Linked DNA regions of Arabidopsis thaliana. The protein of the gene in region 1 interacts with the protein of each later gene in a biochemical or structural test. Each region holds a gene or a part of one and is shown in the gene's direction. Other genes may lie near its edges. The genes, in order: CO, SPA3, NF-YB2 and SPA2.

Region 1 (7,482 bases):
ATTCCACTTATGCCGCCCCAAAGACAATTTCGCACATCCCTGAGAAAAGAAAGTTGTACTCAATATGATTTTATACCAAAAGTAGATTACAGAGACAAGTGTAAACATGTAAAACTCCAATAAAATCACACACTGAATAGTCAGGTAACAAATAACCAAGAATCCTGAGTGAACAATGCTAATAGGTACAATTACATCAACGCATATTCTTGTACTGATTAGTGATTAGCATTGGTGCTAAATCCATTCCCACGAGGTTGTCTCGGATAACAAGATTCTATCACTCACAACCACTACTAGCAGAATATGTCAATGCCTATGGACCATCCAAATGAACAAAGATATTCAGTGTGAGAAATCTATTTCTTGGTCTATCTTTTAGAATAATAGCTCACTTTTTCCAAGGTATATACTGGCACTAAAGAATAACGACGCAACCAAAAGAAAAAGGGTGACACTGTAAAGCCTTCACTTTTTGCCACCTGGAAAGGGCCAGAGATCAACTTATTTACCACTAGGATAGCTTCCCACTTCAACGGTTAAGCTGATGAATTCATGTACCAAATCAATACTTTTTAGCCATAAATGAGTCAGTTTTAGTATCCACATGAATTTACCTACCAGAGTGTTGTAAATTATGTTCTTTTGGGGCCACTTACATGGATCTCATTCATTCACTGCAGCGAGTTCTCAGACCACCAGAAAATTTATTCAGTGATCTGTTTTGATCATGCAACATAAACTTATAAGCCACACAAGCAAAACAAAGATATCCCATGTTGCATATAATACGAGCTAGCATATCATAAAGAAGGAAACTTGAAGTAGCAAAGTTTCTACTAAATTTCTTGTCAGGAATTTTTAAAATGCAATGACAACCACTTGGAGCACTATGAGTTTCAGAGCCAATAGAATGTTACTATTTGGTGTGGATTCGAGCTAGCACGTGAAAGTGCATAAAAGTGATTACCTTTTGCCAAAGGTCACTGCACTTTTCCTCAGATAGTTTCTCACAGCCATGGAAAGTGGAGAATCCGCATAAACGTACAATTACAAGCTTTATATGGTCCCTCGACTCTTATTCTCTTCTCAGTCTTTGCAACTAAATAGGGTTTTCGTTAATCTGAAAGAAGCAAAGTATTCGAAACCACGGAAACCTGATAAAGAATGAAAACAAATAAGCAATAGTGTTTTCTTGAAAATCTCGATGCAACTTTGAGGATATTGTTACATATGATCTATTACTCGTAACAGTTATCCGAAGGCCTACACATGTGAGAGAAGTTCCAAACCGCTACAACAATAAACTTAATTAGAGACTGTCAACGAGCAATAATAAGCAAAACTACTTTTTTCTTGAGCTACAAGTGAAAAGGCCAATACACAATTTACTCTTCATGAACTCGAACCACGTTACAATCTCCAAAAAATTTCATCACCAAAGCACTAAAAGCCAAAGATGCCTCAACTTATCCAACTTGGCAGGATAAAGATCTCCAAAAATGCTTACTAAAGAACCTAGAATCTTTTCTTTAGAATTCAATGATCATATAACCATTTCATAACAATTCTAAATGCCATTACATTCATCGTAAAACCAGTAAATAACAAGAACTTGTATGTTAAGTTCCAATTACCAAGCAAAAAAAAACTTTTCAAAGTTTAAAGTTCAAAATGGGAAAGAGAAGTGCGGTGTAAGCAAATATGAAAGAGGAAGAGATGCGAAAAGTGTATCCTAGGACCAGCATTTTATACAAAAAAAAAACACTCACTTTTCAGCTCTTAAGGCATAGAGTGAAGGTAGCCATATGAATTTGGCCACTAGAGCGTCCGTCAAATCTCATTCTTTTTGGACCACATAATGGGTATCATACATTCACTGGACCCAAAAGCGTAACTGGAGCTAGTCCTCAAACCTAGAGAGTATCGTATCCTGTAGCTTCCACATAGTAAACATTATGAGCATAACACCAACAAGGCAACTCCAAGTACTAATGGTTATTAGTACAGGAAAACCCACGATGCTAAACACATGAATGGGTCACCAAATAGAGTGAAGATGGTTAAATTGCATCTATGGATCATGTGGACTAGTAAATGAGTGTAGCAGAAAACTTCACAATTACCTCTGTGATCTTAGAAACATGTCCTGAAAATTCCATACAAGTGTCGTTTGTATTAGATTACTTCCACAGGTTGAGATCTAATAAAGCTACAATAAATAGTATAGAGTATCATCATAAACCCAAATTACAGAGATGTGACAACACTCATGAGTCATGTTTTGTAACTACTTACTATAATGGTTACCAAGTGCAAATTTCTACATACTATATATGATAAATCTAATTATTGCTCATGTGGACTCCAAAATGCCTTTTAAGTTTTAACTTGTGCGTCAGGTAAATTCTAATTTGTAGTCTCAAGACTACTTGGCGGATTCGAGTTTGATCCTAGAAAATCCACCGTCTCTATGTTTTTCATGTCACTTTTCCGATATGATTCTCATTACCATGACTTTATGAACCAGATTAAACATTATAACACTTTTCATCAGAAAATCCTTCGAAAGTTTCAATTGCAAATCTTTCTAAATGATGCAGATGCATTCACAAATAATGGAACAACAACTATACCATATTCACGAGTTTGTCTAACCTTTGTATAGGTAGTCAACCCATAACAGTTGGTGATGGCTCTGACACTCGAAGCCTTACTCGGAGAGATACCTGAACAGTAATCACAAGGTTCAGGATGAATATTCAACCACTTAAACTTTGTATAAAGCCAAAGAGATAAAACGAATCTAGCTTTACTTTAAATAAAATGCATATGAAAATAGTAAAAGGTGATACGAAAAAATAGTAACAATTTGCCTGCAACACCATGGCATTATCCGGACCACTTCCTCTTGAGAATCTCAGTATGGCAAGTGGCAAAACCTAAGCAACTTGTGAACGGGTCCCAACGAAGAAGTGCATAGGAGGAGATGTTTACACTTTACACTTTACACTTTACACTTTACACATAGGCCTTCCCAAAAGCTCAACTAGCTGCAAGAGGATCCAATAACATGTAAGAGCCACTAACGCTGTGCCACGTGTAGGCACTCAGGATTCGATCTCCCCTCTACTTATTCTCTCACACCAGATATAAGCTTTATTAGCCCCTTCTTTCAGATACCAGCTCCCACACCATCAAACTTACTACATCTGAGTTATTATGTTGAAACAAGAGAGTAACGACATAGGTAGTGGAGAGAACAACAGGGCACGACCCTGTGACACATGCCGGTCAAACGCCTGCACCGTGTATTGCCATGCAGATTCTGCCTACTTGTGCATGAGCTGTGATGCTCAAGTTCACTCTGCCAATCGCGTTGCTTCCCGCCATAAACGTGTCCGGGTCTGCGAGTCATGTGAGCGTGCTCCGGCTGCTTTTTTGTGTGAGGCAGATGATGCCTCTCTATGCACAGCCTGTGATTCAGAGGTTCATTCTGCAAACCCACTTGCTAGACGCCATCAGCGAGTTCCAATTCTACCAATTTCTGGAAACTCTTTCAGCTCCATGACCACTACTCACCACCAAAGCGAGAAAACAATGACCGATCCAGAGAAGAGACTGGTGGTGGATCAAGAGGAAGGTGAAGAAGGTGATAAGGATGCCAAGGAGGTTGCTTCGTGGCTGTTCCCTAATTCAGACAAAAATAACAATAACCAAAACAATGGGTTATTGTTTAGTGATGAGTATCTAAACCTTGTGGATTACAACTCGAGTATGGACTACAAATTCACAGGTGAATACAGTCAACACCAACAAAACTGCAGCGTACCACAGACGAGCTACGGGGGAGATAGAGTTGTTCCGCTTAAACTTGAAGAATCAAGGGGCCACCAGTGCCATAACCAACAGAATTTTCAGTTCAATATCAAATATGGCTCCTCAGGGACTCACTACAACGACAATGGTTCCATTAACCATAACGTAAGGCTTTTGTATATTTGTTACCCCTTCAATTTAGCATCTTCCCATAACGCAGCAGGGTGAATTCTTTCATCATACACACAAATCCACTGATCCACTGCCAACAGTTGATCTATAGCACATAGAAATTTCACCAGAAGTCTATAATAAAAACAATATATGCTTCCTTTTGCATCGACTCTCTTTAGTCCTCTTACCAGGGGGATTGAGAATGTCTTTGTTTCTGTCATTAGGCATACATTTCATCCATGGAAACTGGTGTTGTGCCGGAGTCAACAGCATGTGTCACAACAGCTTCACACCCAAGAACGCCCAAAGGGACAGTAGAGCAACAACCTGACCCTGCAAGCCAGATGATAACAGTAACACAACTCAGTCCAATGGACAGAGAAGCCAGGGTCCTGAGATACAGAGAGAAGAGGAAGACAAGGAAATTTGAGAAGACAATAAGGTATGCTTCGAGGAAGGCATATGCAGAGATAAGACCGCGGGTCAATGGCCGGTTCGCAAAGAGAGAAATCGAAGCCGAGGAGCAAGGGTTCAACACGATGCTAATGTACAACACAGGATATGGGATTGTTCCTTCATTCTGATACTCCTGTGGCAAAAAGAAAAACTAGATTGCAAGCTGTAAATTACTTTTAGTTTGAGATTATGTTAGGTTTGGTGAAATTCTTAGCTTCAAGAAGTATTACTACTGTTGTGCAAATGGGTTTGTAGTTTTGGCTAATTAAAACTATAGTATTCTTCTTTCTCTGCATTAGTTAAACAAAACCAGTCTAATTGGTACAGATCCCCATTTGTGAAATATGGATCATCAAGAAGTGAAAACGCAGATTTCACCTTGCTAACTACTAAGAGGGAAGCCAAGGTTCAAAGCCAATAACTTCCCGATAACCTGAACATGTGACACTTTCACGCCTCCCTGACAACAAAAAGATTCTACAATTCAAGTTGATAACACAGACTCCTCAGCTGTAAATCACAACTTCTTACTAAAATGAGTCATATCACGTTCCTAATTGTAGAAACCATCAGCCATATATGTTCTCGGCTTCAAGAACTGTAAGAAGAAATAAGTAATAACAACCAAGTGTATAGCTTATACTATGTGTTAATGTTAAGTGATGGATTCGAGACCTCACGTGAAAAGTTCATAAAGTGATATAAGGATGCTGCACTTTGCACTTTTTTGCACTTTTCCAAAAATCTAAGGATAGTTCAGATCGATTCTCAAAGCCATCAAATTTTAAAACCATTCCCAAACTTTACATGGTCCCTGGGCCTTCATAGATTCTCACTCTTTTAACTTCTTGCTTACAAAAAAAAAACCATTCTCCTTAATCTGAAGTAGGAAAAAGTCTGCAACTACAGCATGAGTTTGACAGAAAAATTATAACACTCTGCTTTCTAAGGTTCTTATCTTGCTTCAATGACCATATACTAAAATAGCAATTTCCTCCACATAATCCACAAAAAACTTTGGTGTCATGTGAAGAAGGCCTGAGAGTAGTTCCTAACTAACCAATAACCATTACAAAGGAAATCCACAGACTGACTAAGAAGAAGTAAAGACAGAACAAATGAAAAATGCCAAAACAGAACAACACAAGCACAGCTATATCTGAACACGCCTTAAAACACCATTTAATATATAATCATCTCTATACTTACCAGAGAGTCAGAAACCAGTATAAACCCTAACATTTATACAAATCGGAATCAGTCACCATCAAAATATAAACCCTAACATTCATTCAAACTGATTTTCGATAAAGAAACTTACTTTCAACCCGTCACAATAGATTTGGGATGATTTTGGATAAATTTGAGGAAAAATATGCGAAATTCAATAGATTGAATATGCAAGGGTTTAAGGATGTGAAATTCAATAGATTGAAAAAACACAATTTTTTGCTCAATTAGATCCAAATTCATCCCAGATCGATTTTGTCTGACGAGCTGAGATTAAAGGAGTTTACCAGAAAACCCCAAATCGGGATTGTGAAGTGAAAAGCCCTAAATTTTGAGCGACGATCGATCATCAAACTTCGAAATATTCAACAATGACGCACGCAACTGGTCTTGTCTAATACTAACGGGCTGGGCCAAAGGATCTGATATAAGGCCCAATTATTCTTGCGCGATAAACTTCTGTTTCAGGGGACGGCCCAAGTAGTCTTCCGAACTAAGCTTATCTTCTTTCAGGAAGTTTCCTTTTTTGTTGTTGCATGATCATTTTCTATCTTTATCTTATCAAAAGATAATAATCTTATCATTCACGATGAGTTATTCTAAGCATTTCGACAACGAACTTCATAATTGCACAACGGATAGTTTTAAGTAAATGAATGATATTTTTAATCATCTCATTGATTTCAGAAAGATCCTCCTCGAACTATCCTCACTGAGAATGCAGAATAATTAACAAGATCCGCGGCCTTTTGAATAATTTACTTTTCTTCAAGTATATCAAACTTGGCTTCTCTATTGGGTGAAGAGGGTTTGGTGGTAGTTGTTTGTCTTCTTTTTATTTCTCTACGTATAATTATTATAAAATTATACTCTTCTTTTCCAAATTTATGTATATAATTATAAATCTTTGTTTACAGCATCATCTTCAAATATCCATCATTTAATTATCTTCTGACAAAACAACAGAAAAACAAATAAAACCCAAACTTTGGTACGTAGTTAAACGGTTTAAAAAGTGATACCAAAGAAAGAAAATAGATAAGATTAGAGGCAGAAACTTGAAGTAATGTTTTTCTCGATCAGAACAACTCATGATGGATGATGAGTTCTTGGATCATCTGTGATAGAAGAAAAGTCTTGATCCAATTCATCCATAGACGACGGAGAAGAATATTTGTCATGTATGCCTCCTCCAAGCTTCTTCATGGATGTGATAACCTGACGAAGCTCCAAGTTTTCTTCTTTAAGACTCGAGTTCTCTTGAATAACAAGATCATTGTTGTCGGAGACTTGGTTAAGCTTATCTAAAAGCTGGTGGTTCTCGCTTCGAAGCCAAGCAACCTGTGAGAGAAGCTCATCTAAGTGTCTTTGCTTTCTCATTCTTGATCTTCTTGCTGACTCTCTGTTAGATACCATACGTCTTTGCTTCCTCTCGTTGATGACGAAGATTTCTTCAGTTGCGTCATCGGAAGTTGTGGAGTTGTTGCTTACCGGAGATTGTAGGTTGAGTTCTTGAATTTGAGGGTATTGGAGGATATTGAGGTTGTTGTTATTGGTTGAAGGGTTTAAGTTGTTGTAGTAGTTGTTCAAGTTGAAGTAGTCTTGTTGTTGCATGTTGTTAAGACTTGAGCTATCATAATTTGGCTGCATGGTCAATTTCTCTCTCTCTCTTTAGAACTCAAAGAGGGTGAGTTTAATGGTGGAGATTGGATGAGAAGGAGTGTTTATACAGCTGAGAAAGGCATACAAGTGGACCACAACTTTTTTTGCAAATTGGTGGCTTTCGTGACATTGGCTTAAGAG
Region 2 (8,272 bases), on another chromosome or scaffold:
GGTGAGAATCTCGGTGACGCAATGAGAGGGACGAAGTTTATTAACAATATAAATTACATTAAACCCCCGAGTTGAGTTATGGGCTAGGTATTTGGGCTATAAAAGGCCCGGCCCACTAATCATACCATTGAAAGGTGCGATCGTTCCCGCCGTCGTATCGTAGCACAAGAAAATGTAAATTTTATTTATTTGGTATTTAAAAATATACCTATTTAATAATTTGAGATGATAAAGTCATAAAACAGAGTAACTTTTTTGCATCCAAAAACGAGTTCGTGATATCAACTAAGCTTGTCAATGTGTTTTTTTGTACACGAGACATTAAAATTCACAATGTTTCGTAGAGAAGGGGACAAGAAACACATAATATAATCAACCAATTATTATTACTCGAATCCATTATAATATTTTTTCAAAAGGATAAGATTTTGTTCATTGAAAGACATCTGGGTGGGTCCATTTCACTGCTAAGCCCCTTGTGGTGGCGTCTCCAACGCATCCACTTGGCATTGTTTATTTGACCACTTTTTCGAATCATAGATTTTGAATATTCAAGCTCGATGGCTTATGTTAACTCTTATATAAACATATTATCAACCTCCAAATATTTTCATCATCAATCTTCTCCACACTTGAATCACAAACAACAACAAAAGAAACACAATGCAGATTCACAAACTCTGTTTTCTTGCTCTGTTCTTAGCTAATGCAGCTTTTGCCGTCAAATTCAACTTCGATTCCTTCGATGGCAGCAACTTGTTATTCCTTGGAGACGCTGAGCTTGGTCCTTCCTCTGATGGCGTAAGCCGATCCGGAGCTCTTTCCATGACCCGAGACGAAACCCCATTCTCTCATGGTCAGGGTCTTTACATCAATCCAATCCAATTCAAATCTTCAAACACTTCTTCTCCTTTTGATTTTAAAACTTCTTTCACTTTCTCCATCACTCCTCGCACCAAACCTAATTCTGGTCAAGGCCTTGCCTTCGTCATTGTCCCAGCCGCTGATAACTCCGGCGCTTCCGGCGGAGGATATCTCGGAATCCTCAACAAAACCAACGATGGAAAGTCAGAAAACAACCTCATATTTATCGAATTCGACACGTTTAAGAACAATGAGTCTAATGACATTAGTGGTAACCATGTCGGAATCAACATCAACTCGATGACTTCTCTTGTCGCTGAGAAAGCTGGTTATTGGGTTCAGACATTAGTCGGAAAAAGAAAAGTTTGGTCGTTTAAAGATGTGAATCTTAGCAGTGGAGAGAGGTTCAAGGCTTGGATCGAGTTCAGAAGCAAAGACTCTAGGAATACCATTACCATCGCCCCTGAAAACGTTAAGAAACCGAAGAGGCCTTTGATCCAAGGTTCGAGAGTACTCAATGATGTTCTTCTTCAAAACATGTACGCTGGTTTTGCTGGTTCCATGGGACGTGCCGGTGAGCGTCACGATGTTTGGAGCTGGTCGTTTGAAAACTAAGTAAACCGGTTCGGTTCGGTTCAGTTTGGCTAGGTATCGTTTGCTTTGTTTTTGTAATTGTTGTAGAGTGAATAATTAAGGTATGAATAAAATAAGCCGACCTGTGGCTTACTCTGCATTGTATTTTCATATTTGTGTAATCAGTCTGAATAATTCAGAGGTTTTCAATAAAATAAACTTCCTTTCCAAATTCTTTTTTTTTAGTAACTGGATTTGCATGATTTGCAAGGTAGGAGATTGTATTAAGCTCTATACAACATCAGTAGCTCTAGACGTCGTCTTATTGTATTTGTCATGGATAGTTGGATACATACATGTTTCTATCGATTGAAGATGATAAAATAAAAGGAGCAAATTATTGCATCCACGCAATGAAAACGGTTTATATTTAAATAAACGGAGGATAATTTAGCTTTGTTTGTTTTCTTCACGGAATAAAATATAAAATATATCTTCCCATGCAGAAGATTATAAACGTGGAATGTCTTAGATTTATACACGAAATATGAATTAAACAAATGTTTCATTTAAGATAGGGGACACGAATTACAAGTAGTAGAATCGATTATTATTCGACTTCAATAATCAAGAATATCGTTTTTTTATCCCCAATCGGATAGATAAACACACTAGATAGGTCAATTTTGTTGGAGACTCTGGTGGCGTTTGTAACGCACCCACTTGGCGTTATTGAAATGACGCTTCGAATGAAATAATTGTTCTGCCGTAAAACAATTTCAAACTCGATGTCTTACAGTGACGAAATGACGATTCACAAAACTCTGTAATCTTGCTTTTTGACACCAATTCTTCTCTCAAATTTAACTTCGAAACCATGCCTGGATAGTCTCAACAAAACCGACAATGGCATTCTCAAAACCCAACATCTTAGCTGTCAAATATGATCGCATTGGAGACATGTTGGTCTGACATTTAGTTTTGTTATGGAGATCGCTCTTAAGTTTTTTCTTGAAAACATGTCCACGGTCCACCGGTTTTGCTAGTATCATGGCACATTTGAGTTGGTCGTTCGAGAAACAGCGCCAAGAACAGCTAAACCTAAACCGGTCCAATCCAGTTTAGGTATTGTCTCAGAGACTGGTAACCGGAGCCAAATCTTTATTTAGTTTTAAATATGCCTTATTGTTTTGCTTTTGCATTTGTTAATTGGGTTTATAGGAGACTCAAGAGAGGACTACATGCTTTGAACTTTAGTGATTCACTCCTCTTAAAAGGATCTGGTCTTTATTTTTGTTTTTGTTTTCATAAGAACCTCAATTATGTACCCAGAATTAGTTGCTGTTCTGTTGGGAAGAAATAAAGGAGCCTAAAACAAAAAAAAATGTTTCTTAATTCCAGAGCAAAAGTTTGAAGATTTGACCCTCAATGTTTGTCTAAATTTATACATTTGGCACAAAAAAAGGTCATTCCTTTTACGTTCTGTTATTTGTGAGGTCGAAGATTAACCACGTTGCTTGCGTGTAAAGAGAGGGTGGGTGATTATCAATATTGAAAAAAAAACTGAACTGAGAGATATATTATATAAATATATTAAAGAACGATTTCGACAGTGAATCGTTTCTTTCAGCAGTCGTTTTTTTGTTTTTATTCTAAAAGGCCGAGAATTTATGAGGCTGAGAGAGAGAGCCTTCTTCTGCTTTTTTTTCCGAGTTTAAAACTGTGTTTGGTGTTTGTTTGTTGTGTGGCTCTGTTTCAATCTCGTAAAGATTATTTCTGGGTGGCCTCTCTCCTTTAGATACTTCTTATCTTCTCCCTCTCACTAATTTTGCGGTAAAGAAGCTTCCTTTCTTTTTTTTGGCTCTTTACATGATCAAAAGATTTGCATTTTTTCTTGTATATATTTTTATCTTTTGAGTGTTGTTGTTCTTAAATGGGTCTCCTAGGTTCTTGAGTTTTCTTCTGTTTATAGCCTAGGGTTTGTTTCTTGAGTGGGATCACTTAAAAAAGGGGCTTTACATTGTGAGAGTCTAAGTTCTTGGCGAATGTGTAACGATCTTTAAGCAATGAGCTGTTGAATCCGAAATGATTCCAGTTAGAGTTGGGAATACAGAGAAGTCATTGGTTACGTGTTGGTTTCTGGTTAGCTTTTGGTGGATGTTAAATGGAAGGTTCTTCAAATTCTAACTCTAGGGGATTCAATACCTCTGGTGTTTCAGATAGGAACACTGAGTTCTTACCTGTTGAGAGACTCACTACTCGTTCCAAGCCTTCCTCTCATGTTGATGAGTATGTCAGAAGCTTGTTTGGTAGTACTAGCACACACAAGTCTGGTGAAGATGATTCTTTAGGGATTGATCCTTTTGTTAGATCCTTGGAATGGGGTGATGTTAGTTTGAGACAGTGGCTGGATAAACCTGAACGATCTGTTGATGTTTTCGAGTGCTTGCACGTTTTCAGACAAATTGTTGAGATTGTGAATGCGGCTCACTCTCAAGGCATTGTTGTTCATAATGTCAGGCCATCATGTTTTGTCATGTCTTCGTTTAACCATGTTTCGTTCATTGAATCTGCTTCTTGTTCGGACTCTGGCTCTGATTCCTTGGAGGATGGTCCAATTAGCCAGAAGGAAATCGGTAGCTCGAGAAGAGAGGAAGCTGTATCGAAAGCTATTGCAATAGAAGAGAAAGGAGTCTACAATAAGTTGTTGGAGAGAAAAATCGAGAAACTAGAGGAAGAAAAAACCCAACCTTTTCCGATGAAACATATATTAGCAATGGAGACAAGTTGGTACACAAGCCCTGAAGAGGATTTTGGTTCTTCAAGTACTTGTGCTTCAGATGTTTACCGCCTTGGCGTTCTTCTTTTCGAGGTTTGTGATAAAGAAAGAAACATTGTTTCTAACAAATTAGTAACTGCTTTTGGATTCAAAGTTTCTGTTTTTGTTTTGCGTGTTTATTTTCTTGAAAAGGTGATGAGATGAAAGTTAGTCCCTTTGCAGCTATTTTGCCCTGTACCTTCAAGAGAAGAGAAGTCTAGAACTATGTCTAGTCTTAGACATCGCGTTCTTCCGCCTCAGATATTGCTCAAATGTCCAAAAGAAGCTTCTTTCTGCTTGTGGTTACTGCATCCTGAGCCAACTTGTCGACCATCAATGAGGTTTACATATTGTCTTATACTTCATGTTCTTAGGTTGAGCATTGTTAGTCTCTGTCATCTTTTACTACATGGAACTAATGGGGAATTTGTCTTTTATGGTGCAGTGACTTGCTGCAAAGCGAGTTTATAACTGAACCTAGAGATAATTTGGAAGAACGTGAAGCAGCAATCGAGCTTCGGGACAGAATCGAGGAACAGGAGTCGTTACTCGAGTTCTTGTTACTGATTCAACAGAGGAAGCAAGAATCTGCGTATAGATTGCAGGATACTGTTTCACTTCTTTCTTCTGACATTGAGCAAGTTGTAAAGAGACAGTTAATTTTGAAGAAAAGGGGAAGCTCACTCTCTGATTTCAGTAAAGATGATCATCAATATACCTCTGGTCAGCCATTGATGAGTTTCCAGGCAAACGAGGAGCCATCAGCATTCTTGGCCTCAAGAAAACGGGTTAGACAAGGGATTCTGGCATTGGAAAACGGTGTTGAAGTTGATGAAGAGAGTCAAGGAAGCACACTTCTTGAAAGCTCCCGGTTGATGAGAAACTTCAAGAAACTAGAATCGGTCTACTTTCTGACAAGGCGCAGGCAAATGAAGGCTGCTGCTTCAGGGAAATCATTAACTAGACATTCGCCGTTAAGTAGTGAAAATGGAAGAGGTTCTATGATTGTCTCAGAGAAAAGTTCAGTAAGCAACCCGGTGGCACCCAAAGCTTTCTTCAATAATGACTCGAGACAAGGGGGGTGGATAGATCCTTTCCTTGAGGGTTTGTGCAGATATTTATCATTCAGTCAGCTAAGAGTGAAAGCTGATTTGAAACAAGGAGATTTGTTGAACTCTTCTAACCTCGTTTGCGCTCTTGCGTTTGACCGAGAAGGAGAATTATTCGCCACTGCGGGAGTCAACAAGAAAATCAAGATATTCGAATGTAACTCCATAGTAAACGATAACCGGGATATTCACTATCCGGTGGTGGAATTGGCTGGTCGGTCAAAGCTAAGTAGTTTATGTTGGAACAGCTACATAAAGAGCCAAATTGCATCAAGTAACTTTGATGGTGTTGTTCAGGTTAGTTTTACATTCAGCTCTAGCGTTATTAAAAACTTCCAGTTTCATAAAACCAATTTGGGATACATATGTTTTTGTTTTCAGATATGGGATGTTGCAAGAAGCCAGTTGGTTACAGAGATGAAGGAGCACAAGAAGCGAGTATGGTCCATCGATATTTCATCAGCAGACCCGACTTTGCTGGCTAGCGGAAGCGATGATGGAACCGTTAAGCTCTGGAGTATCAATCAGGCAATTCTAATTTGAAATGTCGGCTATTGAAAACTGAAACTGATTTCTACAATAATGCAAACATCTTCATTCTCAGAATGTATGATTAAGAGTTTGTTTTTCTTGGAAATGTTTTCAGGGAGTTAGCATTGGGACCATCAAGACAAAGGCCAATGTATGCTGTGTCCAGTTTCCATCAGACTCCGGACGGTCTCTAGCATTTGGTTCTGCAGATCATAAAGTGTATTACTACGATCTTCGAAACCCCAAGATTCCTCTGTGCACAATGATTGGTCATAGCAAGACAGTGAGTTATGTCAAGTTTGTAGATTCATCCACTCTTGTGTCCTCTTCTACTGATAACACACTGAAGCTTTGGGACTTGTCGATGTCTGCTTCTGGGATTAATGAATCCCCTCTTCACTCATTCACTGGACACACTAATTTAAAGGTAACATTTTACCCTGAAATATGCTTTCAAGACTCTCTTCGGTCTCCGGTTTCTGAGATGTAATGTTCTTGTGATGTGTTGCAGAACTTTGTTGGCTTATCGGTCTCTGATGGGTATATAGCAACAGGCTCAGAGACTAACGAGGTAAAGGCTTGATACAGAAAGAAAAATGAACTTTCTGACAGATTGTCTCCTAAAAACTTGATTATCTGAGCTTCTTGTTGTTGTGAATCTATTACAGGTTTTCGTGTACCACAAGGCATTCCCAATGCCAGTGATGTCGTACATGTTCAACAACACTGACTCTATGTCTGGTCTCGAAGTGGACGATGCATCACAGTTCATATCTTCAATCTGCTGGCGAGGACAGTCGTCTACGTTAGTCGCTGCTAACTCCAATGGCAACATAAAAATTCTGGAGATGATGACTTGAGCCTCTCATAGATCTCTTGTTCTTCTTCTCCGCAAGAGATATGCTCTGCTGGAGTGATTGATATAGGGTAAACCATTTTTACCAAAAAAAAAAAAAGATAGGAAAGTGGAAACATTGTGTATAGAATTTCTATTGAGAAAAAAAAAAGAAGAGAGGATACAAATATTGGATCTTTGTATTTGTATATTCTGTTATAACTGAAAACATCTCAATAAAAAAAGGTTATAATTTTATTGGATTTTGAAGGAGATGACTTCAAACAAACAAAAATGAATCCCAGTAGGTCGTGGCATTACAAGGCATCTCTACTCAATGCAAACAATGTCTAATAGTCTTATCTAAAGCCTGCAACTGCAAGATTCTCTATATGTTGTATAAATATATATATCATGACAGTCGCTCTCCATTACTTCGATAATGGTTCTTTTTTTCTTCGAATTCTTTCTATTTACACTGACTAACTCCTGTATTAGCTTCGTTGACTAACCTGGTCACAAGTCCTTGAAGCCTCTGAGCTCCAAAGCTAGGAACAATCTTAGCCACATTACCGACCCTGGAGCATTTTGGTTTCCCACTGCACCATCCACCAGGAGTAAAACTATCTTTATCATTCCTCCGTTTAAGTAATTCCTTATCGATCTTATTAAGTACTTCATCATCTCTTCTGAATTTCCTAGCAAACGCAGCACCGCTCCATATCATCGGCATTGTGTCGTTGAGTGACAACACGTGTGGGTGCTGCTGCGGCGGATTGTCCCAGGAAATGTAGTGTAGGTCATGGTTTACTGCAGTTTTTGCAAACTCAGGCACGTTGCAAATCACGGTCTGGAAGTAACCTTCGGGCGATGAAACGAAGTTGGTGTAATACATTAGGAGAGTTCGTGGTAAATTGTCCCATCCCCATATGCAATACTCTACAAACGGGCGTGATAGAGCCATCCAAGCTGATCCTGTGACAACAACAGTAACGAAAAAATATTTCAAGCTTTGATGCATATGACTAGAGTTTTGGTCTTATAGATATACAACAGCACCGAGAATAATGCTTCAAGATTTGAATGGTGAGAAGAAGTTTTGATCCAATGTACATTCAAATGCAGTTTAGAGGGATTAGATGACTGACCAGTGAATAACTTAAAGGCAGTTGGCAAACTTCGGCGAGGTGTGACCCAGTAAATATCAGATTTGTTCAACAAGTAGAGTCCAGGATCAATCATTAATGGCTGTGCTCGCTTCTCCCTTCACAAGGAAACAACAACTCAGTCCACTAGAACATAAGACTAAACCAAATAGGAAACTCAAGAACGTGAATATGCTCACTCTTTCCATCCCAGTTGACTTGTGTGTTCGATAAAGTTGAGGTTCCGGTCCAATGTTGAAAACGTATGAAGCAGATCTTCAAACACACAGAGATTATTGACAGTAAGTTAATCAAAGACAAGACTGAAGAAATATCTTGATGCAAAACTAATAAGAAAGTGAGATCAAAGCTTTTTATACCATCTTGGGTCACCAGA
Region 3 (5,618 bases), about 14 Mb from region 1:
TAAAGCCCAATAATGTTTTCGGCCCAGTAGGTGTTCTCTGTACTCCTATTCTCTGCTATAACTTATCATTGTCTCCCGCTTCAGAGGAATCAGACCTAAGAAGAATCCTCACTCGTAAAGTCGCAGGTATGGCTTCGAAGAGCTCTCGATCTATTTTGTGGTTGGAAATTAATAGTCCGTGTATTAAAGTTTCAATTTTTATGTCCTTGAATTTGATTTCTTCCATATCAGTGTCGAAACATTAGGCATCACCAGAGGGAATATTTAAGGTTTTTCTTTAAAAGCTGAAGACTTGATTAGAAATTAGTCCACTTTGATTGAAATGTTCATGTTTGTTTCAGATGCATTGCATTAGGAGCTCAATCCTGCAACACTTGAGACTGAGAGTCTCTGTCAGACCCACTTCGCTTCTTCAGAACGAGAATGGTTTCAAGAGTATTGGTATTTTTAATTTCACATCAGAAGCAGCTGCAGATGGAGGCCAAGATCAAATATTGAGCAGGGTTATTGAACTGGTGAAGAAATACGACAAAACCAACACCTCTGAGGTTAGGGATTACAAAACTGCTGCTTTTTCTTTGTGTATAACCTTTTATTTTGGTGAATGGTTGTTTTGTAACACGGGGCTTGTTTACTTGCAGGTTACTGAAAGGGCTGATTTTCAGAAAGATTTGTCGTTGGACAGCTTGGACAAGACGGAGCTAGTTATGGCTATTGAAGAAGAGTTCTCGATTGAGATCCCTGATGAGAAAGCTGATAAGCTTACTTGTTGTGGTGATGTTGCAACATACATACTCTCTGAAACTCCTACCAAAGCGTCTGAGTCCTGAGTTGTATCTCTGCCTTTCTGTCTCTCTTGTTTTCAATGTTTAGTTAATGCAAGTTTAGAGACATGCTCTGTGTCAGTGTGTCTTTGCTTCAGCCAATATGATCATTTGGGTTTTTGCTGCTAAACATTTTATATGATATATATTCTAATGTGATCACACTACTTTTGTACCAAAAACATGGGAGCCTTTATATACATGATGCTTACAGTTGTTTGTTCTTACACTTTGGGAACATGAAACACAATGTAGAGAGACTCTAACTCGGTTCTGTGACTGGAGCGCCAGCTAAGCAAACGAGGACCATAACAAAAAAAATGCTTTTCACATGAAGGAACTTGAAGAATCAGCTGTTTGTGTTCAAATCTTTTGGTTGAAATGTTGTCTCAACGAGCTTGCTATGATCTCGAACTGTGGCCCTGTAACCTGATTTTCCCTGAGGTGTAGACACGGAAACCATTGGTAGAGGAAACAAGTTTGATAGGTTTGTGTATATTGGTAGAGGTGTTATAGCATCTATAGGGCCTAGGCACATATACTGGCTTGATGAAACAAGTGTTTTCAAGGTGTGGAATCGCATGGAGTTGGGAGGGAAGATCGATTTCAAACTCTCCCAATTCATCAGTAACAGCCTTAATCCATTTGGACCTCCTTTTGGATCCAGTGTGGCACTTGATGGCAACGGTGGCACCTGCGAGGATCATGTTAGTATATATTCGGACGGAAGACAAGAAACATGAAGAAAAAAGGTAGAGAAACAAATACCTGGGATAGGGATGGAGTGAAGGTGAGGACGTGAAGTGTCGCAGAGAAGAGATCCGGTGATCACGACAGAGGAGAGTTTCTGTTCACCGTAGCCAGCCATCTCCACCATTTCCGTTCTGGTCCATAAATTATTCCCAAATGCTCCGGTGAACAAGAAGAAAGAGAGTAACAAGAAGCAACGGATGATGAAGAAGCTTCCCATCGTTAAAAACAAAGAAAAGAGGTTTGTTTGTTTTTCTTTGTATTTTGTTAAAGAAATGAAAATAGCATGAATATATAGAGAAGAAGAAGGAAGCTAAAGAAGAGGAAGAGACCCTTTGCGTGGTGGCTTCAGGTCACACAGCTCTGTACGGCAGTGTCTCTCTTTATACCTTGTAGTAGCCTTTTTCTTTTCAGTTGTATCTTTTCTAAATATATTAAAAATCGTGGCTGACTTGTTAGGGTCAAATTTAGAGCTGAATCTTCCAAATGAAACAATGAACCGAGAGCGAAAGAGAAAGAGAGATACGGCACTTGGAAGCAATTACTGAGTGGTTCGCCTACTCTTTCACTCCTTGTATAAGTATTATTTTAATAATAATATTTGGTGCAACGTTTTTGTATCTAGTGTGACGTTTCTCCTTTTCTTTATTTAATTAAGCCAATTCAGTTAGAGTAGTCATGCAGTAACCAAAAGATTCAAGCCTACCCTCAACTATACTCGCACACATTCAGCTTTGAACACAACGGCTTCAACATCGTGGGTTTGGTCGTGTCTACGTGCTCAGAATATCTAGTTGATGGTGGGAGTCAGCAGGGTTTTGACCAAACCACAGTTTCTCAAGTCCTCATTACATTGAAAAAAGTATGGGCTTAAAAGAAGCCTAGATATTGATAATAGGTCCATCACCTTTAATGGGCCATTCAGTTTGATTATCTTAACGGCCCATTAGGATTCTCCAGGTGGGACAAGTATTAGCTATGTCATTAAGAGCTTAATACAGCTGGAAGCTGGTGATTATTGTTAATGTTAACTAATCACACGCTTAGAAAAGCGACAATGGTTGGACCCACAGGAGAAGATCGAGACCGTCAAAAGTGGACAAAACTGGGACGCTTTTTGTTTCCAAACAGCTGTCTGATCTGATTGGTCGATGCAGTTTTGATGGCAATGAACCCCACCACAGACCACACCCTCATGATCCAACCCAATTCGCTCGTAACACAAAAAAAAAAAGAAGTGAAAAATTGACCGAAGGGTCGTTGAGTGGCAGTTACCCTCTGTCTCCCTAACGCCCACCTATCTTCTCCGTGTTTTCCACGCGCTATCTTTCTCTCTTCTGTGTGTTTACCACGCTCCTCTTATGCGCGTCGGCTCGTGACAAAAGTGTGCCGGGTCCACTAACTGTCCACAACACGTGGCAAAGCCTTAAAGGGCTGTCTATCTCTCAAACAAGATCAATTCCAATCCGACGGTCGAGCACGTATCCAGTTGTCAGAATCTTATCAGTAAACGGACGGTTCATATAAGATCACGTGTCAAGTGAGCAGAAGTCGTGCGTCCTCTCTTTATATAAGCTCCGGCGACTCCTTCACCACTGTGTACAATACCAGCCGACACTTAACAATTCACACCTGCTCTTTTTACTCTTTCTAAAACCCTAAATTTTCTCGCTTCAGTCTTCCCACTCAAGTCAACCACCAATTGAATTCGATTTCGAATCATTGATGGAAATGATTTGAAAAAAGAGTAAAGTTTATTTTTTTATTCCTTGTAATTTTCAGAAATGGGGGATTCCGACAGGGATTCCGGTGGAGGGCAAAACGGGAACAACCAGAACGGACAGTCCTCCTTGTCTCCAAGAGAGCAAGACAGGTTCTTGCCGATCGCTAACGTCAGCCGGATCATGAAGAAGGCCTTGCCCGCCAACGCCAAGATCTCTAAAGATGCCAAAGAGACGATGCAGGAGTGTGTCTCCGAGTTCATCAGCTTCGTCACCGGAGAAGCATCTGATAAGTGTCAGAAGGAGAAGAGGAAGACGATCAACGGAGACGATTTGCTCTGGGCTATGACTACTCTAGGTTTTGAGGATTATGTTGAGCCATTGAAAGTTTACTTGCAGAGGTTTAGGGAGATCGAAGGGGAGAGGACTGGACTAGGGAGGCCACAGACTGGTGGTGAGGTCGGAGAGCATCAGAGAGATGCTGTCGGAGATGGCGGTGGGTTCTACGGTGGTGGTGGTGGGATGCAGTATCACCAACATCATCAGTTTCTTCACCAGCAGAACCATATGTATGGAGCCACAGGTGGCGGTAGCGACAGTGGAGGTGGAGCTGCCTCCGGTAGGACAAGGACTTAACAAAGATTGGTGAAGTGGATCTCTCTCTGTATATAGATACATAAATACATGTATACACATGCCTATTTTTACGACCCATATAAGGTATCTATCATGTGATAGAACGAACATTGGTGTTGGTGATGTAAAATCAGATGTGCATTAAGGGTTTAGATTTTGAGGCTGTGTAAAGAAGATCAAGTGTGCTTGTTGAACAATAGGATTCACTAACGAATCTGCTTCATTGAATCTTGTATGTAACTAAAGCCATTGTATTGAATGCAAATGTTTTCATTTGGGATGCTTTTATGTTTTGGTGAGAGTTATGTAGTGATTCAAGTGTCAAAATGCTTACATAGAGAGGCAGCAAAGAAACCAGCTTCGTTAGAATCTGTGAGGAAAGCTCTGTTTGTTGAGAAAGAAGGTCAATTGCGCGAATGTAAGTCGCGGGTGTTGTAGTACAAGTTGCCTTGTTGATCAGGTGCAGAGACGCGGAGAGGAGTGAAGCCTTCGTAGTCTCCGTTGGTTTTAGCAGAGCAAATGTCTGTCATATACCTCAATAGCTCATAATTTTGTACAAATGGTTGATTTATGTATTCCTCCCAAGGCATCCACTGCACCAAATTCCCATTTTCAGAAAGAGAAGAGGTTTATGAGTGTTTTAGTGGATGAGACTGGAGAGTCGTTGAAGTGAGGAGCAAAAACTGTTACCTGAGCTGCCTCAATCTCTGACTCCTGTGCGTTGATCTCCAAAGAAAGGGGCTTTAACATGCACACGAAGAACAAATCTGACTTTCCAAAGAACGCTTTGTGTGTTTGTCTGCCAGAATTTTAAAACAGACGAGAATCAGTTATGTTGCAATATAGAAGATTATGCAGTTGGAGTTGCTACCTGAAGGCCAATATTTGGTCGAATTCTGTATCCACCTGAAAACATACGATGCAGAAGAGTGGGATTAGCTCTTGGTCTCATGTAAACTGTAAAGAGGACAGTGAAAAGTTGAGGCATGAAGAAGCCTTACTCCGGTCTCTTCTTTCACCTCTCTGACTGAGCCATCATGAATGTCTTCACCCTGACTCAACACAAACACAAAAAGGCGAATCAGAGAGCTGAACCTAACCATGTAATGAGCTTTAATAAGAACCAGCACCTCATTCACAACTCCGGTGGGGAACTTCCAGATACCTTGACCTTGAAATCTCCCTGTCTTCTCTTGAACCACCAGCACCTTTGGATTCAAATACAGAAAAGAAAAGAGATGTGATCCATTCTTGGAGATGTTCCAAAAAGACACACTAAAAATCTCATCTCATCAGTAATCAAACCTCTTTGTTGTGGTTAATGACAAAGGCACCTATGCCAACACGGTGAGATGCATTGGCAGGAAGCGTATCGTCTTCTTTGGGAATCCAATAGACAAGCATCAAGTAGTCTTTCTCCGCGTGGTGAAACCAGAATCCCTCCTACACATAATACACAACCAGTAAGTGATATGAAGACTCTCCAAACAATAAGCAAAAGGGGGTTTAAAGATATCTGATTGCGCATTAGGTAACAAAACAAGACCTTAACAGCAGTTTCAGCAAGACCAATAAGCTGCTTTGGCAACTTGATCCACACTCCCTTTTTGCCCTGCGTACATAAAAACGTTTGTAAACATTTCACAGTAGATCGGTTCATAGTCCTATTCACCGTCTATTACTGTAG
Region 4 (10,023 bases), on another chromosome or scaffold:
GTAGAAATTGGTTGATGTTGTTTCAGGTTTGGGTTTAGGACAAATCAGAGAAGAAGATGATGTTTGGTTTAGAGAAAACGATGACTTTGGAGCATGAAATTCTGAAGGAGAATCATGAGACTCTGTTGAAAGATTATGAGAGTCTTCAGGAGAGGATTAAGCATGCTGAGGAAGCTTATGAGGCTATTAAGTTGCATCATGAGAACAAAGCTAAGGAGCTTGAAGTGAGTAACAAACGCTTGCTTGAGGAATGTATGAAAGAGAGAAGGGAGAAGGCTAAGGTTAGGAAGACTTTTGAGGAGATGAAGAAGACAATGGAGAGTGAGAGAACTGCTATTGTTGATGAGTTGAAGTCGAAGAATCAGGAGCTTTTGTTGGGGAAGAAGAAAGAGGAAGAAGAGTTAGTGAAGATGGAGAATAAGTATGTTGAGTTAGCTGAGAAGTTTGATGTTGTTGAAAAGGAATGTGCTTACTTGAAGTCACTCTATGATGCGGAAGTAGTAGCTTCGGTTACTCAAAGTGCTGTAATCTCAGGGGTTGGAGAGACTGATAATCTTATTGGTCAAGGAGAGAACGAGGCTAATCAGAATGTGAACAATGCTGTGACAGGTATACATAGACATCTCTGTACCCAAGTGTTGTTTAGTTTACAATGACATTTCTTTTGAATCTATCTTTGTGTGCAGATGCGATAATGATAAGTGATGATGAAAATGATAATAATCCACCTATTGAGAGTAACATAAGCTCTCATCGGTCTGGTGATAGAAACCAAGAAGAAGAAGGCAGGAACAGAGGAAACTCAGCGACTGAGAACCGAGCTTCGGGAGAAACCTTTACTCCGGTATCTGCTAATCATCCACCGCCTTTTTCTCCTTCATCGTCATCTTCATCATCATCATCTTCAGACGGCGCTGAGATTGTGCTTAAGCTGCCTCGTAATTGGCCTGAATGGGCAATCCCGAAAGGTCCCGGGAAGGATTCCAACAAGCCTTAGAACATTTCAGATGCAACAGAGAGCCAAAAGAAGTAAATTTGAAGCTGCACTCTTAAGTTAAGCTAGTTATGGAAATCTTCTTACATATTGCTTTCTGTTTTTGTCAGGAGTTTATTTAACAATCTCTGGAACTACAACAAACTATTCTATCTACTATCAAATCAATTATTCATTCATGAGTATAATAATAGCTGAAACTTTCTGTGTTACAACAATTTCACCATAACTAAAATTGCATTTGCATTTGAATACTGCAAACGCAAATTGGCTTTGTATACGCATCTTGTTTATATATGGATTAGTTTTTTCTACATAATTAATGAAAGCTTTTGTAAACTAACTCTTGAGTACTAACTAATAAGAAAGTTCCGTGGCAAAATAATTTCCGAATCATCGGATAATCATCCATTTACGAGGTTAAGTTCCGGGAACTGCTGGTGTTAAGGTTCTGGAAGATCTCCGGAAGATTGGCATTAGTGAGTTTGATTCTCTTGCTGATCTGTTGTTTGCCATGCCATGAATATGTGCAACAGCTCTTCTCTGTGTAGTGTTCATCACACATGCTTCAAACTAAGCTTATGCAGCTCCTTCTCGACTAGCTTGTCGCTTGAGTTGTCTATGCCGCGGTATAGAGGTTTAAAGTCGTCATAAACCTGAATCTGACCCTTGAAATCAGCATTAGACAGTCCTTAAACTTTTAGAGCCAGCAAATATGAAAGACAATCCTGAAAAATGGATAATCATAAGACCACAAAAGTCTTTTGAAACCATTTAAGATCAGGAGCCAGTACACTATCCGTCTATCAGAATCTGGCAATAAATATTATCAGAAGCTTATTGATTATGAAGTTAATACATCTTAAATAGAATCAGTTAAGCGTTTTTTGTAAATCTAAATCACATGTGAAATTTCTTTATGTCACGTTTTCATTTGTGTAAAACAATATCTTTTGATTTATTAAGCAAATAATTTGCAGCTAAAGCTCTCAAGATTCAAATAAATTGAAATGTAAGTAGTGTAAGTAGTGATTTCTTATAGAAATAGTTGAAATCTAAAAGTATTAGGACACTGATGTAAGTATTGTTAAACTAAAGAGATCTATCAGGAAATCAAATCACTATAGTTTTTTTTTTTTTTTTAAATTCCTTGAGTTTATCAAACAAAAAAATGTAAATGTCCCTAGCAAGTACTGTAGGTTCATTTTTTTTGTTTCAAAAGAGTATGTTATTTCTTAAAAATCGCCAAAGATAGATAAGATTCGAAATTTGCATAAATGTGGCAATAAATATTATCAGAATCTTTTTATTGAATAATGAAGTTAATACACCTTAAATAGAGAATTAAGCGTTATTTAGATCTAAAACCACATGTGAAATTTCTTTATGTCACGTTTTTGTTTGTGTAAAACGATCTCTTTGAGTTAATTTGCAACTGAAAGCTCTCAGCATTTTACATTAATTGCAATATAAATAGTGATTTCTCATAGAATTAGTTCAAATCTTAAACTATTAGGACAGTTACGTAAACATTGTTAAACTAAAGGGACCAATATGGAAACACAAATCACTGTAGTTAATTTTTATTATTATCTTGAGTTTATCGTCTATCGTGTTCGAATTCTCTGTCGCTTACTTAAACACAGTCAAATTCATTTTCTGCCTTAGAAAAGATTTTTATCGAAAATCGACGTTTTTGAAAAAACTCAAATTATCGTCGTTTTGTTCTCAGATTTCTTCTGCTCTCTTCTTCTTCTCCTTCTTCTTCGTTCCACCGCCTCTGTTGCTTTATCTTCTTCTTCCTTCCTTCGATTGTTGATTACGTCGGTGGATCTTTGTTCTCCTCTGTGTTGTTTTCATTGCTAGATTTCGTCAATGATTGGCTTCTCACGATTCGATTTTTCCGGCTCCTGTTCTTAATTTCCTCTGAGGTAGATTAGTAAAACTCTTTGTCTCGTAAACATTGTTCGATGATGAAATTAGAAAGTTCTCACTCTTGTTTGCCAAATTTGGGATATTTCTGGAATTGAAAATGAATCGTCATTTTTTTCAATTTCTGAGGATTTTGTTACAATTGTTTTTTATTTATGTTAGAATTGAGATTGTGTGATGAATATCAGTAACCCTAGACAATTGTGAAATCAAAGCTATGAAAATCTTTTGATGCTATGTTTCCTATGATACAGAGAATGATGGATGAGGGATCAGTAGGGGATGTGAGTAGGATTGATGAAGCTGATGTTGCTCACCTTCAATTCAAGAATAGTGAGCAGTCGTTTAAACCGGAGAACATTGAAGTCCGGGAAGTAAAAGAAGTGCAGGTTCAGAGAGAAGCTGGTTCTCCTGATTGTTCTTATGGTGTAATAGCAGATTTTTTAGATGGTAAGAATGGTGGTGACCATGTGGAGCTTATAGGGAATGAACCATGTTCTAGCCGGCAGAATACAAATGATGAGGGGGATGTTGTCGAGGAGTTGACTGTTAAAACTTGTGAGGGATCGAGTATGGCTATAGTTGGTAGACCAAGTAGTAGAGCTAGATTAGAGATGAATCGCAGTCAGTTTCTGCATCGTTTTCCGCTAGACGGTGATTTACCGGGTAGTAGTTCTATGAGTAAGAAGGTAATTGACAGGGGAACAGTAAGTATCTTGAGAAATGCTGGGAAAATGTCTTTGCCTGAGACTTCAAATGGACAACTGGCTATTATTGCTGTTAATGGAGAAGCTAATGAACATTTGACAAATGTTGAACGAAATCCTGTACCTGTAGAGGCATTGTCTCATGAAGGCATCAAGACAAAGATGTTATCGCAGTCTGGGTTTTCTCAGTTTTTTGTTAGAAAAACATTGAAAGGGAAGGGAGTTACTTTCAGAGGCCCGCCAAACAATAGATCTAAAGCGAGGAATATGGATCAGCAAACTGTAGCTAGTTCTGGTAGCGCTTTAGTAATAGCTAATACTTCAGCAAAGATTTCTAGCAGCATCCCTTTGGCGGCTTATGATGGTTTGCCGTGCTTACCTTCCAATACCAGTAAACCATCTTCTTGTGCTAATCCTTCAGATACACATAGAGGTTGTGGAGGTGAAGGTTTAAGTCTGAGAGAATGGTTGAAGTCGGAGCGGCAGGAAGTTAATAAAGCAGAATGTATGTATATCTTTAGGCAGATCGTGGATCATGTGGACTGTTCTCATTCTCAAGGAGTTGTTTTATGTGACCTGCGACCATCTTCATTCAAAATTTTCAAGGAAAATGCAGTAAAGTATGTGGTTTCAGGTTCTCAACGAGAGTCTTTTGACAGCAACATGAACAAAGAGACTTTAAGTCAACTCGAAAACCCTCTGGTTAGAAGACGGTTAGGAGATACTTCTAGTCTCTCTATCCCTGCAAAGAAGCAGAAATCAAGTGGACCAAGCTCTAGACAGTGGCCTATGTTTCAACGAGCTGGTGGCGTCAATATCCAAACTGAAAATAATGATGGCGCGATACAGGAGTTTCATTTCAGATCTAGTCAACCTCATTGTAGTACAGTTGCCTGCCCTTTTACTTCAGTGAGTGAGCAGTTGGAAGAGAAATGGTATGCGAGCCCTGAGGAGCTCAGGGGTGACATGCGTTCAGCCTCTTCAAACATCTATAGTTTGGGTATTCTTCTTTATGAGGTATGCCATCTTAATTGTAGCTTTTGACCTGCAATTGTAAGTATGTACATCCATGAGTTGAAATGTGAATCTGCAAGCCCTTAATGTTGACACACATATATATGTTTTCCCGTGGGATTATGTCTTTAACTGGGACATATCGTGTGTGGGTCATGTTTGGGTCCAGATAGATTTAGATAGTGTAGCATGTTTGTTAATGAGATGGTAACAGTGAAGTTTCTCGTTGAAAGTACAGTTGGCTGCATGGCTCATAGGTTTATGTATATATTGATTCGACTGTTTCTTGGTCAAAACATAACATTTTCATTGATATACTAATTTGTTTTTTTCCGTCAGTTGCTGAGCCAATTTCAGTGTGAAAGAGCTCGTGAGGCTGCAATGTCTGATATCCGACACCGCATTCTTCCTCCCAAATTTCTGTCGGAGAATCCAAAGGAAGCTGGGTTTTGTCTTTGGTTACTTCATCCAGAATCTTCATGCCGACCATCAACCAGGCAATGCAAAATCTTTAGCTACTATAATTCTCAAATGATATAAAGCGTGTTATTGAACTTTTGTATGCTTGTTTCTGTTGATAGTTTAAGGCCATGAATCCCTAGTGGGTCTATTGGAAGATAATCTTGTTGTATATCTAGAAATGTACATATGCACCAAATGTGGAAGTTTTGTTCTCCTGGCTGTAAACGGGAGGACGATTGTCTCGTCAACAGTTTCACATAGGATTGTTAGGTTCTACTCTGAAAAATAATTAGTCTTTGTACTAACTGAGCTCCCTTTATGTGTTGATAGTCTCCTTCCTGTCATAATTTATCTGTCAAGAATGTGAGTTGGCTTAATCTCTAAATAAGTTTGATGTTGTTCTGTATTAGGGACATCTTACAATCTGAAGTAGTTAATGGAATCCCGGATTTGTATGCTGAAGGCTTATCTTTATCCATTGAACAAGAGGACACAGAGTCTGAACTCTTGCAGCATTTCCTTTTCTTGTCCCAAGAGAAAAGGCAGAAGCATGCTGGAAATTTGATGGAAGAAATTGCGTCCGTAGAAGCAGATATCGAGGAAATTGTCAAGAGACGTTGTGCCATAGGGCCTCCGTCCCTGGAAGAAGCTTCTAGCTCATCTCCTGCTTCTAGTGTACCTGAAATGAGACTGATCAGGAACATTAATCAGCTTGAAAGCGCTTATTTCGCTGCAAGGATAGACGCACATCTCCCTGAAGCACGTTATAGGTTACGCCCAGATAGAGATCTGCTAAGAAATAGTGATAATACTGTAGCAGAAGTAGAAAACAGTGAGACTTGGAGCTCAGATGATCGTGTTGGAGCGTTCTTTGATGGGTTATGCAAATATGCTCGATATAGTAAGTTTGAAACTCGGGGTGTGCTGAGGACCAGTGAGTTGAACAACACTTCAAATGTGATTTGTTCTCTGGGTTTTGATCGGGACGAGGATTATTTTGCCACAGCTGGTGTGTCGAAAAAAATTAAGATATATGAGTTCAATTCCCTTTTCAACGAATCTGTTGACATTCATTATCCAGCCATAGAAATGCCAAATAGATCAAAGCTTAGCGGCGTTTGCTGGAACAACTACATTAGGAACTACCTAGCTTCCTCTGATTATGATGGTATTGTCAAGGTATTTGAACCTTTGAAGTTTTACGTAGATTGTTTATCACTTGATTACCCCTTTATTTCCTTCGGTCTAATGAATACAAACGTATTTATGATGAATCCAGTTATGGGATGTGACAACAGGACAGGCCATTTCACATTTCATAGAGCATGAGAAGAGGGCTTGGTCTGTTGACTTCTCTGAAGCTTGTCCGACAAAATTAGCCAGTGGAAGCGATGATTGTTCTGTGAAGCTATGGAACATCAATGAGGCATGCTCTTCTATACTGGATTTTGTCGTTTTAATAGCTACTCCTACTGAGATATCTGGCATATATACATATGAATATATCAATAGCACTTTGGATTATTCTGTCAATGTTGTCATGCTCGTATTTTCAGCCTTGTAGCTAATAGACAATCTTCTTGTTTGACTGTGCAGAGGAACTGCTTAGGAACAATCAGGAACATTGCAAACGTTTGTTGTGTGCAATTTTCTCCACAGTCCTCTCACTTGCTAGCCTTTGGATCATCAGACTTCAGAACCTACTGCTATGATCTAAGGAATTTAAGAACTCCTTGGTGCATACTGTCAGGACACAACAAAGCAGTTAGCTATGCGAAGTTCTTGGATAATGAAACTCTTGTAACAGCATCAACTGATAACACGTTAAAGCTTTGGGATCTTAAGAAAACCACTCACGGTGGCCTCTCAACAAATGCTTGCAGCTTAACTTTTGGCGGCCATACAAATGAGAAGGTAGCTAATGCTGAAACGTAATTTTGAGTTAATCTATATAATGATGTTTCTCTTTTTCCTTCGTGGTTGATTTGTCTTTTCCTGCCTTTTTCAGAACTTTGTTGGTTTGTCTACTTCTGATGGATATATAGCTTGTGGCTCTGAGACAAATGAGGTATGCCCCTACAAACCTGGGAACTCTTTGATATTCCTATAACTTTGTGTATGGAATCTCCTTTTCTATAATCCTTTAACAAGCATTGCCACAGATTGATAGTTTGATTCTCAACTTAACTAGAAGCTCCAGAGTTTATTTCATGTGATGGAAAAAATCACAGTTCCATGTGAATTCCGTCTATTTATACGCGATGGAGGAACTTATCCATTGATACTAACAATTAGTAAAATAACTGGCGTAGGGTCAAAAAAGAACTAATCTGGTAGTATTGTTGTTTAAGTGATCTCTCTGATTGAGAAATATGCTGTTTCTTGTTTTGTTCAGGTTTATGCCTATCACCGGTCTCTTCCCATGCCAATTACCTCGTACAAGTTTGGTTCTATTGATCCAATATCAGGTAAGGAGATAGAGGAGGACAACAACCTGTTCGTTTCAAGCGTTTGCTGGAGAAAAAGATCGAATATGGTTGTTTCAGCTAGCTCAAATGGGTCAATCAAAGTTCTACAGTTGGTCTGAAATAAATACATACATACAGAAGAAGCTGAGGTAATTCTACACCTAGAGCCCTCTTGGTTTATGGTAAAACAAAAACCCCATCAATCCAAGAATCAGGCAAAACAACGGAGATAACGAACAAGCTTTCAACACACAGATATGAGATAGTTTTATCTATCTGTTGCTAAAGTTTTCCTCAAATGGGGTGAAGGAATGAGAGTGAGTAGAACTATAGTTGTTCAATAGTTGCGGTTTGATCAGCGCGGTAAGGGTTTATACCGCTGATGGGTATACATAGTAAGGTAAAAGACCTTCTCTTTTGTGGTGTTCTAAGGTGTTTATTTTTTTATTTTTTATTTTGGCTCTTACAATAAGATTCCTCTTTGTGATATGTAAATTTGCTCCGATAGTTCTAAGGTAAAAGAGCATACTCTGATGTATATATAGTTGAAATGAGCTTTTTAGTTCTACGGATGAATCTCCTCCACCAAGAAAAGAAAAATCTTCGTTTTTCTTTTTAAAAACTTTAAATGCATCGTTTTTTGTTGAATGTTCACAAAAGTAATCTTTGAAATGCTTTATCATTGTACATAGCTTAGGACTGAATCAGCGTAATAACGTTATCAAGGTTTCTTGCTCAATCAAGCTGCTCCAACTTGTTTATGGTCTTCTTCACTTGGTACTGAAAACTTTTTTACTTTCTGAGACAAACAACAACAGAAGATGAATCAAGGCCTTGCTCAATCTAAGATCAAGCTGTCTTACATCTATGAGAAAGACTTAAGAATCACAAAGAAGAATTCATAGTGAACTAGTGAAGCATGCCATATGGAAAAACAATTGTTCAAAAACTCCAATTGAGGAAATGTTGGAAAAAGAAAAGAACAAACCTTAGATAGAACACATTCTCAGAGAGATTGCAGTAGAATTAGACATTTCTCTTGATCGAATTTCGATTCCGAAACACAATTGAGAAGATTCACAGCTTCTTGTCGTCAAATTGGTAGGGGAAGCTTTTTCTCCATTATCATAAACCCTAAACTAAAAGTTTCTGCAAAAACAACTATTTTATCGAACTCTTAATGGGCCATCAATGGGCCCATACTTATAAACTTAAACCCTTTTCCAATTTCAGTCGTATTTTACAAAAACCATCACCGTCGTTATCACAGTAACCAAACAACTTTCATCGCCGGGTAAGCTCCATTCCCAAGCTATTTCGATCTCGTTTCACGTCGATCTATTTCTAGTCAAGTTAATCTCTTCTTTTAGGGTTTAATTAGTTAAGACTTGCGTTTGATTATCTCAAGTTCAGAATTTGTTTCTTGATGATCTAAAGGAAGGAATTTTATACTTATCAAATTGAGGATTTTTGTTTTTGGATGCAGAGAACTGATTAACATATAAGAAAATGGCGTTTGCTAGAGCAGTGAGAAGACCAATTGGAGTCTTTTATTATAGTGTTAGTAGTAGATTTAGTTCTGGAAATGAGTATTCTACTGTGGCAAGCAAATTCGAAACTTTGTCTCAGTACAAAAGCTCTGTACCGTCTGGTTACACAAGCCTTGTTCGTGGTTTTGGGAATTTCATACGGAGTTTTAGTTCGGAAGCTCCTCCTGCTGTATCTGACCAAATGAGTCTTATTAAGCAACTTAGGGAAAGAACTAGTGCTCCTATTAAAGATGTTAAGGCTTCTTTAGTTGAATGCAATTGGGATCTTGGTAAGAATTTGGTTTAGGTTTTTTGTTTTGGTGAAGGTTGTGTATGTTTTGTTGTGTTTTGAAGTGGGTTTTTTTGGATTTGACACAGAGGCTGCTCAGAAGGATTTGAGAAAGAGAGGGAAAGTTTTGGCTTCGAAAAAGTCGTCACGGACTGCTGCAGAAGGAATGCTTGCCGTTGCTCAAAATGAAGGGAAAGTTGCTGTTATTGAACTTAACTGTGAGACTGATTTTGTTGCTAGGAATGAGATTTTCCAGTACTTGGTTAGTCCCATAGCAATTTCACATTGGTTGTTGCTGAATGATGGGCTTTTTGTTTATTTTACTGTTCCTTGTCTTCTAAAATTGACATGTCTTGCAGGCTTTAGCTATGGCAAAACATGCTTTGCTGGTTGAGAGTAGTTCGCAGCAAGTTTCTGGTGTCTTCCCCTTTGGGCCGGAGCTTTTTGAGGTCAGTTTTTTATGTACTCGCTTGTTTCCTTTTTTGTTATTTAAATTTATGGATTTATGTTGTTTCCTTTGCACTGTCTGAGATATTGATATCAACTTTTCATTTCTAATCACTCTAATGGATGCTATCAGGAGTTCAAGCTTAACCTCGATCATCCAAAAGTTAATGGTGAAACAACG

What was found.
Region 2: the proteins of CO (region 1) and SPA3 form a complex in vitro, tested with the Arabidopsis thaliana proteins (one study listed by BioGRID).
Region 3: the proteins of CO (region 1) and NF-YB2 form a complex in vitro, tested with the Arabidopsis thaliana proteins (one study listed by BioGRID).
Region 4: the proteins of CO (region 1) and SPA2 form a complex in vitro, tested with the Arabidopsis thaliana proteins (one study listed by BioGRID).

What each region holds. Positions count from the first base shown.
Region 1 is NC_003076.8:5,168,438-5,175,919, reverse strand, and holds CO (B-box type zinc finger protein with CCT domain-containing protein), read left to right. Parts: upstream 1-2,834; 5' UTR 2,835-3,222; coding exon 3,223-3,984; coding exon of another isoform or gene 3,985-4,125; exon of another isoform or gene 4,126-4,217; coding exon 4,218-4,577; coding exon of another isoform or gene 4,578-4,582; 3' UTR 4,583-4,871; coding exon of another isoform or gene 4,872-4,909; 3' UTR 4,910-5,016; coding exon of another isoform or gene 5,017-5,026; 3' UTR 5,027-5,758; downstream 5,759-7,482. Other genes in the region: AT5G15843 (uncharacterized protein), read right to left, coding at 3,538-3,691, 4,009-4,125, 4,224-4,582, 4,872-4,909, 5,017-5,026; bZIP3 (basic leucine-zipper 3), read right to left, coding at 6,769-7,329. UniProt on the Arabidopsis thaliana protein: Transcription factor that acts in the long day flowering pathway and may mediate between the circadian clock and the control of flowering.
Region 2 is NC_003074.8:5,167,810-5,176,081, reverse strand, and holds SPA3 (SPA1-related 3), read left to right. Parts: upstream 1-2,976; 5' UTR 2,977-3,601; coding exon 3,602-4,309; intron 4,310-4,407; exon of another isoform or gene 4,408-4,438; coding exon 4,439-4,596; intron 4,597-4,700; coding exon 4,701-5,661; intron 5,662-5,745; coding exon 5,746-5,892; coding exon of another isoform or gene 5,893-5,907; exon of another isoform or gene 5,908-6,010; coding exon 6,011-6,322; intron 6,323-6,406; coding exon 6,407-6,466; intron 6,467-6,563; coding exon 6,564-6,755; 3' UTR 6,756-6,987; downstream 6,988-8,272. Other genes in the region: AT3G15356 (Legume lectin family protein), read left to right, coding at 664-1,479; AT3G15359 (uncharacterized protein), read right to left, coding at 2,301-2,489; AT3G15350 (Core-2/I-branching beta-1,6-N-acetylglucosaminyltransferase family protein), read right to left, coding at 7,200-7,705, 7,879-7,994, 8,076-8,151, 8,256-8,272. UniProt on the Arabidopsis thaliana protein: Repressor of photomorphogenesis in the light. Probably part of the COP1/SPA E3 ubiquitin-protein ligase complex.
Region 3 is NC_003076.8:19,306,056-19,311,673, forward strand, and holds NF-YB2 (nuclear factor Y, subunit B2), read left to right. Parts: upstream 1-3,171; 5' UTR 3,172-3,358; coding exon 3,359-3,931; 3' UTR 3,932-4,217; downstream 4,218-5,618. Other genes in the region: mtACP3 (mitochondrial acyl carrier protein 3), read left to right, coding at 342-548, 642-830; AT5G47635 (Pollen Ole e 1 allergen and extensin family protein), read right to left, coding at 1,226-1,518, 1,593-1,794; NUDT2 (nudix hydrolase homolog 2), read right to left, coding at 4,336-4,524, 4,622-4,730, 4,803-4,837, 4,933-4,983, 5,062-5,139, 5,237-5,374, 5,478-5,543. UniProt on the Arabidopsis thaliana protein: Component of the NF-Y/HAP transcription factor complex. The NF-Y complex stimulates the transcription of various genes by recognizing and binding to a CCAAT motif in promoters.
Region 4 is NC_003075.7:6,768,980-6,779,002, forward strand, and holds SPA2 (SPA1-related 2), read left to right. Parts: upstream 1-2,625; 5' UTR 2,626-2,925; intron 2,926-3,180; 5' UTR 3,181-3,183; coding exon 3,184-4,650; intron 4,651-4,986; coding exon 4,987-5,144; intron 5,145-5,519; coding exon 5,520-6,288; intron 6,289-6,388; coding exon 6,389-6,535; intron 6,536-6,705; coding exon 6,706-7,023; intron 7,024-7,117; coding exon 7,118-7,177; intron 7,178-7,504; coding exon 7,505-7,696; 3' UTR 7,697-8,246; downstream 8,247-10,023. Other genes in the region: AT4G11100 (gelsolin protein), read left to right, coding at 57-609, 687-997; AT4G11120 (translation elongation factor Ts (EF-Ts)), read left to right, coding at 9,087-9,396, 9,485-9,657, 9,755-9,844, 9,976-10,023.